Lonchura striata: one gene and its partner. The protein of the gene in region 2 purifies or fractionates together with the protein of the main gene of each other region. This does not show direct contact. Links are inferred from orthologs where the notes say so. Each region holds a gene or a part of one and is shown on either strand. Other genes may lie near its edges.

The links.
Region 1: the proteins of WRAP53 (region 2) and RNF8 purify together in Homo sapiens (affinity purification with western blotting; 3 studies listed by BioGRID). This does not show direct contact. The link is inferred for Lonchura striata from reciprocal best matches to the Homo sapiens genes WRAP53 and RNF8.

The regions. Positions count from the first base shown.
Region 1 is NC_134605.1:29,922,111-29,929,696, forward strand, and holds the start of RNF8 (E3 ubiquitin-protein ligase RNF8), read right to left. Parts: upstream 3,081-7,586; 5' UTR 2,949-3,080; coding exon 2,859-2,948; intron 593-2,858; coding exon 464-592; intron 1-463. Other genes in the region: AARS2 (alanine--tRNA ligase, mitochondrial), read left to right, coding at 3,315-3,539, 3,970-4,158, 4,801-4,946, 5,705-5,899, 6,435-6,579, 7,023-7,168, 7,469-7,577. UniProt on the Homo sapiens protein: E3 ubiquitin-protein ligase that plays a key role in DNA damage signaling via 2 distinct roles: by mediating the 'Lys-63'-linked ubiquitination of histones H2A and H2AX and promoting the recruitment of DNA repair proteins at double-strand breaks (DSBs) sites, and by catalyzing 'Lys-48'-linked ubiquitination to remove target proteins from DNA damage sites.
Region 2 is NC_134636.1:1,989,392-1,997,446, forward strand, and holds the start of WRAP53 (telomerase Cajal body protein 1), read right to left. Parts: upstream 3,077-8,055; 5' UTR 3,073-3,076; coding exon 3,051-3,072; intron 1,071-3,050; coding exon 1,001-1,070; intron 897-1,000; coding exon 798-896; intron 1-797. UniProt on the Homo sapiens protein: RNA chaperone that plays a key role in telomere maintenance and RNA localization to Cajal bodies. Specifically recognizes and binds the Cajal body box (CAB box) present in both small Cajal body RNAs (scaRNAs) and telomerase RNA template component (TERC).

The sequences.
Region 1 (7,586 bases), on a different chromosome or scaffold from region 2:
AATCAGCTGAGAAGAACTTTCGGGAGAAACTCATTTGAACACAACATGAAGCATGGCTTTTCTAATACTAGATTCTTGTTGAAGTTGATTATAATCAAAGCAATTGTATCACTACAACAACGAGTTGCACTTTATCTTTTCATTAGCACTACAAGAATGTTATCCTTTTGAAAAGATAAAACCCTGTATCAAAATTCATATAGGATATTTTTTAAGAAAGCGACACCGAAGGTTCACAGACTGCAAAGTGCCCTTGGCCAGGCCACACTGGTCTGAATAATGCTAAACTAAGAGGTAGATCTACATACAGAAAGTAATCCCAACTGCAGCAGACTGAAGTTTCCTGCTGGAAGTGCACAACAGGCAAGACACAATCCCTTCTATCCCACTTATGCTGTATCATAGCCCATACACTGCTAGATCCAAAAGAATGGATTCTATTCAATGTATCTCAGGAGTATACCTTGTTATCCTTGACAGTCCACTGCCCTTCTGCATTCTGCTGGAAGACACAGTGCTTACGAGAGATCATCAAGGGACAGGTTTTTGACACCAGCTGGTACGTGTTATCTAATCCTCGGCCAACAGTCACCTAAAAATAAAGTAGCATAGTTACTGCAATCAGTAATGACATGGTAAATTCAGTTTATGGCATTTCAATTTAAGTACAGCAAAACTCTATATCAATATCTTATGGTTATTTCCAAAAGGTCTGGCATAGTATGATTTTTTTTTTAATTTAATTTTAAGAGTATATAGAAAATAGAAGCTTATAAAGTTTGAAGTATTATCTTTCTCTCCCACTGAGGAAATTTTAATTTCTCTGAGGCACGTTACAACTTGGTTTCATGGAAATCTTCCTCAGCGGCAAAGCTGCTCAAAGCCACTCAGATACAACTCTGTCCCACCTCAATCATTACCTAACCAAATACCATTTCTTCAAACCAGCACTATTGTGTGTGGGTCTCAAGACTACTTCTTAACCTCTTCTTTTGCTAGTTGCATCTGTTCAACCATTTGTGAACAGAAAAGATACAGGAAAAAAATAGCCCAGAAAACTGCCATCAAAAAAAAGTGCACACTCAACATTGTCCTAAATACACAGTACTTTTGTAAATCACACCATCGATCTTATGGCTCAGAATCTAAGCTACATGCAGCTCATAATCAGTAGTAAAAGTGATCTAAGTAACTGCATTAGACTAATACTATTTTCTGGAAGAAGGCATATATTTGTAGTATTGCACAGTATCTTTTTAAATCTCATCTGATTTCAGATTGCCATTTAAAGCACATCCCTGCTCTCCCTCCCTCTGCTGCCTCCTCTGCACACTTCTCTTAATTAATCCGCATTACCTGAGCAGTTCTCACCTTGAGTTTAGAGCAAGAATTCAGACCCCCGTGTCATAACCAAAAGCAAGGAAGCAAACTAAGATAACAAAAGCAAACTTAAACATGTTAGTGCCTACCTCTTAAATGTTTCATATAGTTTTCTGTCAGCATGGATTGCATACATAAGAGGTACAGAGACTCAAATGGATAAAGACTCCCTTCTTCATGAGGATTCAAACATAAAAGCAGCTTTGCATTTGTCCCTGCAGTGGCATCCTCAGGGCCCAGTCACACACGTCTACAGGACCTCACATATCAATATGAGTGAGAGCAAGCAGGGGCAGTCATAAAATTCCCCCTTGATCAAGCTCATTTAGCAAGCAGGGGTCCAAGATGTTACCACTCACCTGCTGGAGTTCAGTGCTGCTCACAGCAGTACCGGCAAATCACATCCCATTCCCACATATGAGCAGTGTCCTTTAGCACCAAAGTGGTCACAGCACCAAGCCTGATAGTGTTAAAAAAGTGTTTGGATAACATCCTCAGGCATGTGGTGTGATTCTTAGGACTGTCCTGTGCAGAGTCAGGAGCTGGACTCAGTGATCCCTGTCAGTCCCTTTCATCTCAGCATAATCTATGATTATGATTTAAATCTCCAGCAAAAGCAGTTTGTACTCTGTGGCCTGGCACACCTACAGCACCTCCCTGCTGCAAATGACAACCACTGTGCATACAATCAGAATAGTAACATACCAAACTGGATTCCCTGCATAATTATCAGTGCCTTGGCTGCAAGTTGTTAGCGCCAGTCCTTCACCGAGGAGATCTGCAAATCTCAGGGCTTCAAATCCACAATGGGAGAGTAACAAAAGCATACGTTTGGATGGGTGCCTTTTGCGGTGTTTGAACACAAGGCCTTGGCCACAGCATCACCCATACCACCTGATTTTGACCACCGGAACAGCACTCCTTTTACGCTGCCCCAACGTCATCACACGTCTTTGCCTGCTGGGTTTTAAAGAAGAGTACCAGGGCCCATTTTTCAATTTAAAAACACAATCGCTAAGAAAACGGCTATTCCCGTACCGCATCAAAACAATTTAAAAGTGACTTCATTTACACCTGAATACCTTATGCCTTAGGTACTGTTAACCTCGCCAAAAGCACCACCTTGTTAATTAGGCTATGGGCTCCCTTCGTCCTCACTTACGTTACCGTTACACGAACAACTCTATCTAAATATGACATAAGAATGTAAAGACATAAACAAGCGAAGGCTCGTCCAAGGCCACTCCAGCGCCTGGGTCCGTCTTCCACGACCGGGGGCGTTACCGGGGCTGAATGGCGCCCGCCCGGGCGGCTCCTCCGAACGGCCACGAACGGAGGCTGCTCCTTAAGCGGGACAAGGCGGTGCTTTTTCCTCCTGGGAAGCGCTGTAAGAAACACGAGACCCCACCAAACTGCGCCCCGAGAGCCGTGCCTGCCCCCCCGCCCACTCCGAGGGGTCGGGGCCCGGTGCGGCTCACCTGCGTGCCGGCCTCCAGCAGGAGCCAGTCGCCGCTGGCCCCGACTCGGCGGAGGCACCAGGCCAGGCACGGCACGCCGCGCACCGCCATGGCGCCCGCCCGCCGCGACCGGCGGGAGCGATCTCCGCGGCGGGAGCGATCTCCGCGGCGGGAGCGATCTCCGCGGCGGGAGCGATCTCCGCGGCGGCAGCGATCTCCGCGGCGGCAGCGATCTCCGCGGCGGCAGCGATCTCCGCGGCGGCAGCGATCTCCGCGGCGGGGCGGCGCTCGCAGGGGCCGGGGCGGGCCGGGGCCCGTCCGAGCCCGGGCTGCGACCGGAGCCCGCGCGTGCGCCGTAGGACGGCGGGGCCGCCGCGCGGCGCTTTCCCGCAGTCCCGCCGCGCTCCGCCGGGTCCCGCCTCCCCCTCGTACCGCCCCTTCCGGGCGCCCCGGCGCTGCCGTCCGCCGTGAGGCGCCATGGCTGCCGCCGCCCGGCTGCGGCGGCGGCTGCTGCTGGCGGTGCCATGGCGCTGGCGCTGCAGTCCCCGCCGCGGCGGTGCCGCCTGCCCGTCGGCGGGGCAGATCCGCGCCGCCTTCCTGCGCTTCTTCGAGGAGCGCCACGGCCACCGCCGCCTGCCCTCGGCCCCCGTGCGGCCCCGCGGCGACCCGCGTCTCCTCTTCGTCAATGCGGGCATGAACCAGGTGCTCTTCCCTGTCCTGCACCTCCCCTCCTCCGGCTCGCCGGCGCTTCCGCATCTCAGAGGAGCGCCGCCCGGCTCGGGGTGTCCCCTGCCAAGATCTCCGGCGTTGCCCTGGGCTCCCCGCGCCGCCGTCCTGCTGGACGCCTCTCGTAGTGCCGCAGTGCTGTGCGAGTCTCCCCCGCTGGCGATAGTTTAAAACTGTCAACACAATCCTGTGCCGTGTGTTCTGGAACGAACTAGCTAAAGCAGGGAGGTTGGACCAGATGGCCCACTGTGGTCCCTTCCAACCTGACCCATTCTGTGTATCGGGAGCCCCAGGCGCAGGCTCACTGCACTAGGTGGCATCTGTCCATAGCGGGTACAGATGCCACCTAGGCATCTGTAGGAATGCCTACACCTAGGCATCTAGAGCGTGTGTCTCTCGTTTCCAGTTCAAGCCCATTTTCCTGGGCACGGTGCACCCCCGGAGTGAGCTGGCCCAGTACCGGCGGGTGGTGAACAGCCAGAAGTGTGTGCGTGCAGGAGGGAAGCACAACGATCTGGAGGATGTAGGCCGAGATACTTACCATCACACGTTCTTTGAGATGCTGGGGAACTGGTCCTTTGGGGATTACTTTAAGGTGAGGTGATAGTAGTGAACCCTTTCTAGGGGAAAACATAACCTGCCTTTCAGAGCTGTGCTGTAGTGCCATAGGAGTGTGTACAGAAGGTGTTTTGGTAAGATCCAGATTCATTCCTGGGGGCTCTGTGGCCTGGAACAGCGGTGGTGAGCTCATGGGCTCTATTGCTGAATGTGTCCTGAAGACTCTCAAAGCACTCAGCCTGCCAAAGCTGTGACCAACATGTAAAAATAAAAGTTTTCTGTGAGAATGCCAGTGTTAGCCACTTAATATGGTGTAAAGAGGTTACCAGCTCATTTAATGTTTGTTACTAGAAGGTTTGAAAAGGGAAGAAGAACAAAGGATGCTAAGTTTTTTAGGTGACATATAGATTTTTTCTTTGGAAATTAAATAATCCATGTAACTCTGCCAGCAAGCACATAGATGCACACCATGCTGAAGGGCTCACAACATTTTAGAAATGTCAGTTTTCCACTGGCAGCAGTGAGCTGTTTCATTCTCCTGACCTTCATCCTTGCTCTTTGCAATAAGTCTGAAAATTAGAAAGGGAGAGAAACAGCTGAAATTAACTTCTTTGTTGTTTGATTCCCATTCTAAAGACTCTGAATTATTGTGCTTCATTTATGTTCCCTACCTGCTCAGGAGGAGGCATGTAGCATGGCCTGGGAGCTCTTGACAGAGGTCTATGAGATCCCCAGAGATCGTCTCTATGTCACCTACTTTGGTGGAGACCCCTCGCTGGGGCTGAGCGCAGACGAGGAGTGCAGGGATGTGTGGCTCCACTTGGGGTAAGTGTGTCAGAGAAGAGGTGCTGACATTTTACTTTCCACAGTCTTGCATTTGCTCTTTAGTTGATCAGCTGTGGGGGCCAGAGAGTATGTTTTACCATTTTGTTTCTGGTTTCTTTGCGCTGTTAAAAGTCAGCTGGGCTCTGAACTCACTGGGTCTCTTGAACTTTTGGTTCATTCTCAGGTAGTATCAGTGGGGGTGGGTATGTGCCTAAAACTGGCTGGCCTGGATGAAGTACGTACAGGATCTCCAATCCTTTGCTTCCTCTCCATCATGAGAGTGTGTTCTCTGAAAGCAGGCAATGTCTGCTTCAGTGAGAGGGTGCAGCCATTGCAGAGAGCACTGCTGTGCTTGGGGATCTTGTTCCAGCTGTATGTAGGCTTTGAGCCCAAGGCAGACAGCTCTGTGCCACTGATGGTGTTCAGGTCTTGCCTCTGCTCCAAGGAGCAAGGTGCTCCACAGACCCAGTGGAGAGCCTGTCTTGGTCAGCAGGGGCCAGGCTGTGTTTGCCCATAATTCTGGGCTGAGACTAGGGTCCTGTGTGGTTTGGCTCACTTAATCTTACTAAGGAGAGTAATTCTGTGTGAAGAGAAGGAAGCAGAGGAAGTAGAGAAACAGAGGAATTCTGATGTGTTTCCTTTTTGAGTCTGTAGAAGGAAGAAAGGATTCCTTTCTTCCAGCTTTCTTTGTGATCTGGGTTACTGTGTGGTTTGTGTGTATGCCTCAGCACTGCCATCTCTGTTATCTGCCTTTCCAGGGTTCCTGCCAGTCACGTGCTTCCTTTCCCATTGAAGGATAACTTCTGGGAGATGGGGGACACAGGTCCTTGCGGTCCCTGCACAGAGATCCACTATGACCACGTGGGTGGTGGCAGAAATGCTGCAGCACTGGTGAACCAGGGCAGCCCCGATGTAGTGGAGATCTGGAACTTAGTTTTCATGCAGTACAGCAGGTACCAAGCATCTCATCTGAACTCCAGAGCCTTTCCCCCTAGCCTGACTCCAAAATCATGGGTATATTCTCAGACTTATCACTGGTTTCCAGAAGGTAGCAATACCAAGACCAGGAGCAAGAGAGAAACTGTGGAGATTTGCCCAGCATGGCTCTTGGTCCCCTTTGCTTTAAATCCCTGTCTTCTTCAACCTTCACTGCCTATTCTCCCTTAATGCTGCATTCCAGAGATCTCTTGAGGTCTGCAGCAGTCTGGAAGAGGAGGAGAAGGCCTTTTTTCCTTACATTGCAGCCTATCCTACATTGCATTTTCCTTACATTGCAGCCTATGCTATGTGATGGTCAGATAATGGCTGCCTGACAGGGCTAAGGCAGGCTGCTGTCACTCTTATCCCTGAGCTTCCTTATGCTGGGTCACCCAATGTTTCCATCCCCTGTCACTTTCCCATTCTCTTTGATTCACCTGTTCCTTATTTTTGCTCATGAACTGATCCTTGCTTCTCTTTTGCCTTTTATTTTTCCTGCCTGGCTGACAGAGAGGTGGAGGGGAATCTCCTTCCCTTGCCGCAGTACCATGTGGATACAGGAATGGGTCTGGAAAGACTGGTGACAGTTCTGCAGAACAAACGTTCCAGCTATGACACAGATCTCTTCACTCCCATCTTGGATGCTATTCACAAGGTGATGGTGCTTCTGCTTAGAGTCACAGCTCAACAAAAGCTCCTTGAACACAGACTGCTTGCTGGGTAGCATAGTATAGTCTTCTCTGAGCAGTTATTGAGCAGTGTCTTGAGGCGGGAGGTTATGTCCTGCCAGGTCCAATGCAGTGTTCTAGAAAAAAGGGAGAATTCCAGGCTGGAAATCTGCTGGAATTTCAGCACTGCTGATTCATTTTCCTTTAAAGTGTTTTAAGTTTCTCAGTGCTAGGGCATTGGCTGACCTGTGTTAGTTACAGAAGTCTTGGTCTGTAGTGCCGTGGAAGGATTTGATGAGTACATCTTAGGTGCACGGGGTTCAGAGGTACTTGAAAAACATGATGTCAGGCATAGCTGGCTGCCTCTTGTGTTGAAACTTCTTCTGCAGCCATTATTTTCTGCTGATTTTCTCTCTACTTTCTCTTTTAGGTCTGCAGGGCACCCAGATACCAAGGTTTGGTCGGGAATGCTGATGTTGGGCGTGTGAACATGGCCTACCGCGTGGTGGCAGATCATGTGCGCACCCTGTGCGTGTGCATCACTGATGGCATCTACCCAGGCTTCTCTGGAGCAGAGTAAGGACGTAAGGAGATGGCATGAGGTGGAGGAAGTTAGGTCTAGAAAGGAATATGAACAGCCAGGGAAGAGGTTCTAGTGTGGGCCCCAGATAGGGAGTACATGAGCTTTTAGGGAGACAGGAAGATGAGAGCCAGGAAGGGGTTCCAATCTGCAGACTTCCCCTTGGATGGGTGTAGAGTGTTGGGAGCATCTGGCCTGTGCTGATGAATCAGACCAGATGAGCTGGGGGATGCTGGATGTGGCAGCTGGGCAGGGATGCTCACAAGGCTGCCTGAGGAATCCTTCTCTGTTTTCAGACTGGTGCTGCGTCGGATCCTGCGCAGGGCTGTACGCTTTTGCTCTGAAGTTCTACAGGCTCCACCTGGGCTCCTGGCCTCCCTGGTGCCTACAGTTGTGGAAGTGCTGGTGAGTAAA
Region 2 (8,055 bases):
CCAAAACAAACCCAAAACAGCCCCCAGGGACCCCAAAACAGCCCCCAGGAACCCCAAAATAAAACCCCCTAAGGGACCCCCGGGTCACCCCAAAACGGCCCCAAGAGACCCCAAAACAGCCCGAAAACAACCCCAAAACAGCCCCCAGGGACCCCAAAATAAAAGCCCCTAAGGGACCCCAAAATAATCCCCAAGGACCCCAAAATAACCCCAAAACAACCCCCCTTGTCACCCCAAAATAACCCCAAGGCGACCCCAAAATAACCCACAGGAACCCCCGGGAGTTGGGGACCCCCAAACGCCTCCCCAGGAACCCCGGGGACCCCCAAACCCCCCAAGGAACCCCCAGGGGACCCCAGATCTCCCCCCGAGGGGTTTGGGGGATTTTGGGGGAGTTTGGGGGCTTTTGGGGTGATTTTGAGGTGATTTTGGGGTGATTTTGATGGTGTTTTGGGGGGTTTTCGGGTGACTTTGGGGTGATTTTGGGGGTTCTGTGGAGTTTTGGGGGATTTTGAGGTGATTTTGGGGGTTCTGGGGAGTTTTGGGGTGATTTCGGGGTGATTTTGCGGTGGTGTCGGGGTGATTTTGGGGGTTCTGGGGAGTTTTGGGGTGATTTCGGGGGGTTTTGGGGTGATTTCGGGGTGATTTTGGGGTGATTTTGGGGTGATTTCGGGGTGATTTCGGGGTGGTTTTGGGGGTTTTGGGGTGATTCCGGGGTGATTTTGGGGGTTTTGGGGAGTTTTGGGGTGATTTCGGGGTGATTGCGGGGTGTTTTGGGGGGTTTTGGGGTCTCTCACCATTTGCAGCCGCGCAGGAAATTCTCGGGGCGCCGCGCGAATTCCTCCCGCGCCCCCCAAACCGGGCGGGGGGGGCGGCCCAGTTCGTACTGGGGGAAACTGGGGAGAGCCGAGGTTGGGGGGGGGGGGGTCGGGGACCCCAAAACCCCTCGGCGAGTCCGAGACCCCCACCCCAAAAAGCCGAAACCCCCCAAAAAACTCACTCGAGCTCCTCGGGCTCCGCCGGGGCCGCGTCCGGAGGGGTCCCGGGGGGGGCGGGGCCGCCCTGAGGGGCTGCGGGGGAGGGGAGAGCTCAGAGCCCCGACCCCCCCAAAAACAACCAAAAACCCCCAAAACCACCCAAAAATCCCCAAAATCCTCCCCAAAAAAACCCCCAAAACCACCCCAAAAAAAACCCAAAATCCTCCCCAAAAAAACCCCAAAATCCTCCCCCAAAAAAACCCCAAAATCCTCCCCAAAAAAACCCCCAAAATTCTTCCTCAAAAAAACCCAAAATCCCCCCAAAAAAAACCCAAAATCCCCCCAAAAAAACCCCAAAATCCCCACCCAAAAAACCCCAAAATCCTCCCCCAAAAAAACCCAAAATCCTCCTCCAAAAAAACCCCAAAATCCTCCCCCAAAAAAACCCCAAAATCCTCCCCGAGAAAACCCAAAATCCACCCAAAAGAACCCCAAAATCCTCCCCAAAAAAACCCCAAAATCCCCCCCAAAAAGACCCCAAAATCCCACCCAAAATACCCCAAAGCCTCCTCAAAAAAACCCCCAAAATCCTCCCCAAACAAACCCCCAAAATCCTCCCCAAAAAACCCCCAAAATCCTCCCCAAAAAAACCCCAAAATCCTCCCCAAAAAAAACCCCAAAATTCTTCCTCAAAAAACCCCAAAATCCTCCCCAAAAAAACCCCAAACCCTCCTCAAAAAAAACCCCAAAATCCTCCCCAAATAAACCCCAAAATCCCCCCCAAAAAGACCCCAAAATCCTCCCCAAAAAAACCCCAAAATCCTCCCCCAAAAAACCCCAAAATCCTCCCCAAAAAAAACCCAAAATCCTCCCCCAAAAAAACCCAAAATCCCCCCAAAAAAACCCCAAAATCCCCCCAAAAAAACCCCAAAATCCCCACCCAAAAAGCCCCAAAATCCTCCCCAAAAAAACCCCAAAATCCTCCTCAAAAAAAACCCCAAAATTCTTCCTCAAAAAACCCCAAAATCCTCCCCAAAAAAACCCCAAAATTCTTCCTCAAAAAACCCCAAAATCCTCCCCAAAAAAACCCCAAACCCTCCTCAAAAAAAACCCCAAAATCCTCCCCAAAAATACCCAAAATCCTCCCCAAAAAACCCCAAAATCCTCCCCAAAAAAAACCCCAAAATTCTTCCTCAAAAAACCCCAAAATCCTCCCCAAAAAAAGCCCAAAATCCCCCCCAAAAAGACCCCAAAATCCCCCCAAAAAAACCCCAAAATCCTCCCCAAAAAAACCCCAAAATACTCCCCAAAAAAACCCCAAAATCCCCCCAAAAAAACCCCAAAATCCTCCCCCAAAAAAACCCCAAAATCCTCCCCAAAAAAAAACCCAAAATTCTTCCTCAAAAAAACCCAAAATCCCCCCAAAAAAAACCCAAAATCCCCCCAAAAAAACCCCAAAATCCCCACCCAAAAACCCCCAAAATCCTCCCCAAAAAAAACCCAAAATCCCCCCAAAAAAACCCCAAAATCCTCCCCAAGAAAACCCAAAATCCCCCCCAAATAAACCCCAAAATTCTCCCCAAAAAAACCCCAAATCCTCCCCAAAAAAAAACCCCAAAATCCTCCCAAAAAAACCCCAAAATCCTCCTCCAAAAAAACCCCAAAATCCTCCCCAAAAAAACCCCAAAATTCTCCCCAAAAAGACCCAAAATCCCCCCCAGAAAACCCCAAAATCCTCCCCAAAAAAACCCCAAAATCCCCCCAAAAAAACCCCAAAATCCCCCCCAAAAAAACCCAAAATCCTCCCAAAAAAAAACCCAAAATCCCCCCCAAAAAACCCCAAAATCCCCCCAAAAAAACCCCAAAATCCTCCCAAAAAAAACCCAAAATCCTCCTCCAAAAAAACCCCAAAATCCTCCCCCAAAAAAACCCCAAAATCCTCCCCAAGAAAACCCAAAATCCACCCAAAAAACCCCAAATCCTCCCCAAAAAAACCCCAAAATCCTCCCCAAAAAAACCCCAAAATCCTCCCCAAAAAAACCCCAAAATCCTCCCGCGCGCCCCCGCGCGCACCGTCCGCCACGGGCGCCGCCATGACAGTCGAGGCCACGCCCCCTCCGGGACACGCCCCTCCGGGCCACGCCCCTCCGGGCCACGCCCCCTCCGGGCCACGCCCACATCGCCATATATGGGAAAGGCGCGGGTCGGATTGGCGCCTCCCTCTGTGGGCGGGGCCTCGGCTTTTCCCGCCAAAAGGGACGCCCGCGATTTGGGGACCCCAAAAAACGACCCCAAAAGGGTCCCGGGAGCCCAAAACCGACCCCAAAAGGGCCCAGGGGTACCTGGGACCCCCAAAACCGACCCCGAAACGGTCCTGGGGGAGCTGGGACCTCCAGAACCAACCCCTAAAATGTCCTGGGACCCCCAAAAAAGACACCAAAAGGGTCCCAGGACCCCAAAAATGACACCAAAAGGGTCCTGGGGCAGCTGGGACCCAACCATGGCGACCTTGACCCAACCATGACCCAACCACGGCCACCATGACCCAACCACAGCCACCACAACCCAACTATGACCACCATGACCCAACCATGGCCACCATCACCCACCCACGGCCACCATGGCCACCACAACCCAACCATGACCCAACCATGGCCACCATGACCCAACCACAGCCACCACAACCCAACCATGACCCAACCATGGTCACCATCAGCCAACCACAGCCACCACGGCCACCATGACCCAATCATGGCCACCATGACTCAACCATGACCCAACCACAGCCACCACAACCCAACCGTGGCCACCACGACCCAGCCGTGATGTTCCTCCAGGACCCAGCCATACCCACCGTGATGTTCCTCCACGTCCCCCTCAAGTCCCTCAGGGCCCCCCCACAGGTGCCCAGGTGTGTCCAGGTGGCCCCAAATGAGGAATTTTGGGGTCTCCTCTCTCCCCCCAAAAAAAAGTCACGGGTGAAAATCAATAAAACTTTTATTAACTGCCCCCAAAATCTGAAATCCCCCAAAATTCTCTTCCCCTCCCCCCACAACAACCCCGAAAGTCAAAACAGCAAAATAAATGGGGGGTGGGGGAGGGGCAGAGGACCCCCCCCCCGAACCCCCAAACCGCCACCACCGAGCGCCCCCCTCCCCCTCCCCCTCATTAACGAACCCCATAAATTACAACCCCCCACCGGCCCCCCCAAAACTGGGGGGGGGGCTCCCACACCAGCCCCTCCCCCCCCCCGACTTGGGGGTCACCTCTAACTTGGGGGGGGGGTCACCCTCGGCTCGGGGGTCACCCCAAATTTAAGGGTCAGAGCCGGGTTTGGGGATCAACCCCCCGATTTAGGGTTTCACCCCGATTTAGGGTTTTACTCTAATTTAGGGGTCCCCCCGAGTTTGGGGGTCCCCCCGAGTTTGGGGGTTGCCCCCTCTGAACTTTGGGGTCAAGTTCCCCCTCAAACCTGAGGGTCCCTCCAGTTCTGGGGGGGGACCCCAAATTTGGCCATCACCACCCTCTGGTGTCACCCCAATTCCAGGGTCACCCCAACAGTCCGTGGGGACCCGGGGGGTGACAACAGCCCTGTCCCCACCGAAACTTGGTGGTTTGGGGGTGACAACCCCAAGCTCATTTGCATTTGGGGTGACAACCCCAAGCTCATTTGCATTTGGGGTGACAACCCCAAGCACATTTGCATTTGGGGTGACACCGCCGTTGCCGTTGGACGTTGGGGTTTGGGGGTGACAACCCCGTTCCCACGGGAATTCGGGTGTCACCCCCACGGCTGTTGTGGGTTTTGGGGGGGTGACACCCCCGACCCCACTGCAGCGTGGGGGTGACGCCGCCGCCCCTGTGTGAGTTTTGGGGTCACCCCCGCGGCCTGCGGGGTTCGGGGGTGACAACCACCCCGAGCCCGTCAGAATTCGGGGGTTCAGGGGGTGACGCTCCCGACCCCGTATCCATCCGGGTTTTTGGGGGGTGACAACCACCGCGGCCCCAAATCAATGCTGGGGTCACCCCCACGGCCTGCGGGGTTCGGGGGTGACGACAACCCCGTGCCCGGATCGAGGTGGGGTTGTTGGGGAGCGACAACAGCCCCGCCCCCGTGGCCATCTGGGGGTCACGCCCACGGCCTGGGGCGGGGGTTTCGGGGGGTGCCACCCCCGCGCCCACAGGCCGAGCCTCAGTTGTCGTCGTCGCTGTCGTCGGGGCTGATGGCCGGGCTGGTGAGGCTGTAGGTGGGTGAGGTGGGGCTGTAGCCGGGGGACGTGGGGCTGTAGGTGGAGCCCTTGGGCGAGGTGGGGCTGTAGGTGGGTGACGTGGGGCTGTACTTGGGCGAGGTGGGGCTGTAGGTGGGCGAGGTGGGGCTGTACTTGGGCGACGTCGGGGTGTAGACGGGCGAGGTGGGGCTGTAGGTGGGCGAGGTGGGGCTGTACTTGGGCGTGGTGGGGCTGTAGGTGGGCGAGGTGGGGCTGTACTTGGGCGAGGTGGGGCTGTACTTGGGCGAGGTGGGGCTGTACTTGGGCGAGGTCGGGGTGTACTCGGGGGAGCTGGGGCTGTAGCTGGGGCTGGTCGGGGTGTACTTGGGGGAGGTGGGGCTGTAGCTGGGGCTGCTGGGGCTGTAGCTGGGGCTGCTGGGGGTGTAGGTGGGCGACTGCGGGGTGTAGCGGGGGCTGGACGGGGAGTAACTGGGCGAGGTGGGGCTGTAGCTGGGTGACGTGGGGCTGTAGCTGGGCGAGGTGGGGCTGTAGTTGGGTGAGGTCGGGGTGTAGTTGGGGCTGGTGGGGCTGTAACTGGGAGAGGTGGGGCTGTAGCTGGGAGAGGTCGGGGTGTAGTTGGGGCTGGTGGGGCTGTAGTTGGGCGAGGTGGGGCTGTAGCTTGGGGATGTTGGGCTGTAACTGGGCGAGGTCGGGCTGTAACTGGGAGAAGTGGGGCTGTAACTGGGCGAGGTGGGGCTGTAGCTCGGCGAGGTGGGGCTGTAGCTCGGCGAGGTGGGGCTGTAGCTGGGGGACGTCGGGCTGTAGCTGGGCGAGGTGGGGCTGTAGCTGGGCGAGGTGGGGCTGTAACTGGGCGAGGTGGGGCTGTAGCTCGGGGACGTGGGGCTGTAACTGGGAGAGGTGGGGCTGTAACTGGGCGAGGTGGGGCTGTAGCTGGGGGACGTGGGGCTGTAGCTGGGCGAGGTGGGGCTGTAGTTGGGCGAGGTGGGGCTGTAGCTGGGGGACGTGGGGCTGTAGCTGGGCGAGGTGGGGCTGTAGCTGGGGCTCTGTGGGGTGTAGCCCCCCGGCGACCGCGGCTCGTAGGCGGGGGACGTCGGGCTGTAGCTGGGGGACATGGCCCCACCTGCGGAGAGAGGACACGGGGGTCAGGAGGGTGTTGGGGAGGGTGGTGGGGTGTTGTGGGGGTGTTGTAGAGGGCTGTGTGGCCCTTTGAGGTGTGGTTCAGGTGTTGTGGGGCTGTTGCTGGTGGTGGGGTGTAGGGGGTCCCTTTGAGGTGCTGTTCGGGTGTTGTGGGGCTCAGTGATGGGCTGCTATGGGGCTGTTTTGGGGTGTTTCAGTGAGTTTTGGGGTGTTGATAGGGGTTACAGGGTATTTTATGGATCTTTTGTGTTATTTCAGGCTGTTTCAGTGTGTTTGGGGTGTTGTCAGGTGTTATAGGGTGTTTCACGGGTGTTTTCATTATTTTAAGGGTATTTTAGGGTGTTTCAGTGTGTTTGGGGTGTTGTTAGGGGTTACGCAGTGTTTTGAGGGTGGTTTTGTTATTTTCAGGGTATTTTCAGGTGTTTCAGTGAGTTCTGGGCTGTTGTTAGGGGTTACAGGGTATTTTACGGGTGTTCTGGGTTATTTTAGGGTATTCCAGTGAGTTCTGGGGTGTTGTTGGGTGTTACAGGGAGTTTTGGGTTATTTCAGGGTGTTCCAGTGAGTTCTGGGTTGTTGCTGGGTGTTACAGGGTGTTCTGAGGGTGTTTGGGGTTATTTCAGGGTGTTCCAGTGAGTTCTGGGTTGTTGCTGGGTGTTACAGGGTGTTCTGAGGGTGTTTGGGGTTATTTCAGGGTGTTCCAGTGAGTTCTGGGCTGTTGCTAGGTGTTACAGGGTGTTTTCGGGTGTTTGGGGTTATTTCAGGGTGTTTTAGGGTGTTTCAGTGAGTTCTGGGTTGTTGCTGGGTGTTACAGGGTGTTTTCGGGTGTTTGGGGTTATTTCATGGTGTTTTAGGGTGTTTCAGTGAGTTCTGGGTTGTTGCTGGGTGTTACAGGGTGTTTTCGGGTGTTTGGGGTTATTTCAGGGTGTTTTGGGGTGTTTTCGGGGCTGTACTCACCGGGGGAGGGGATGTAGGGGCTGGAGGGGCCGGGGGACCCCGGCGAGCCGGGTGTGGGTGACCAGGCCGGGGAGTAGCCGGGGCTGAAGCCGGAGGCGTCGGAGGCGGCGCTGGGGGAGAACCCGGCCCCGCCCGGGGTCATCCCGCTGCCTGTGGGGGAGAGGGGTCAGCGGCACCCCAAAAACAGCCCGGGACCCCAAAAACAGCCCGGGACCCCAAAACCACCCTCAAATACAGCCCAGGACCCCAAAACCAGCCCCAAACAGAACCTGAGACCCCAAAACCACCCTCAAATACAGCCCAGGACCCCAAAAACAGCCCAGGACCCCAAAACCAGCCCCAAACAGAACCTGAGACCCCAAAACCACCCTCAAATACAGCCCGGGACCCCAAAACTGGCCCAGGACACCAAAACCAGCCCTTAAACACAACCCGGCCCCATCCCGCTGCCTGGGGGGGGAAAAGGGGTCAGGGGACCCCTCATCATCCCCAATTCACCCCCCAGTGCACCCCAACTTCCCCCCACAGCCAGCCCAGTGACCCCTTTTTACCCCAGACCCCCCAAGAACCCCTCCCAGTCCCTCCCAGTCCGTCCCAGTTCGTCCCAGTCCCTCCCAGTTCCCTCCCAGTCCGTCCCAGTCCGTCCCAGTTCGTCCCAGTCCCTCCCAGTTCCCTCCCAGTCCGTCCCAGTCCGTCTCAGTTCGTCCCAGTCCCTCCCAGTTCCCTCCCAGTCCGTCCCAGTTCCCTCCCAGTCCCTC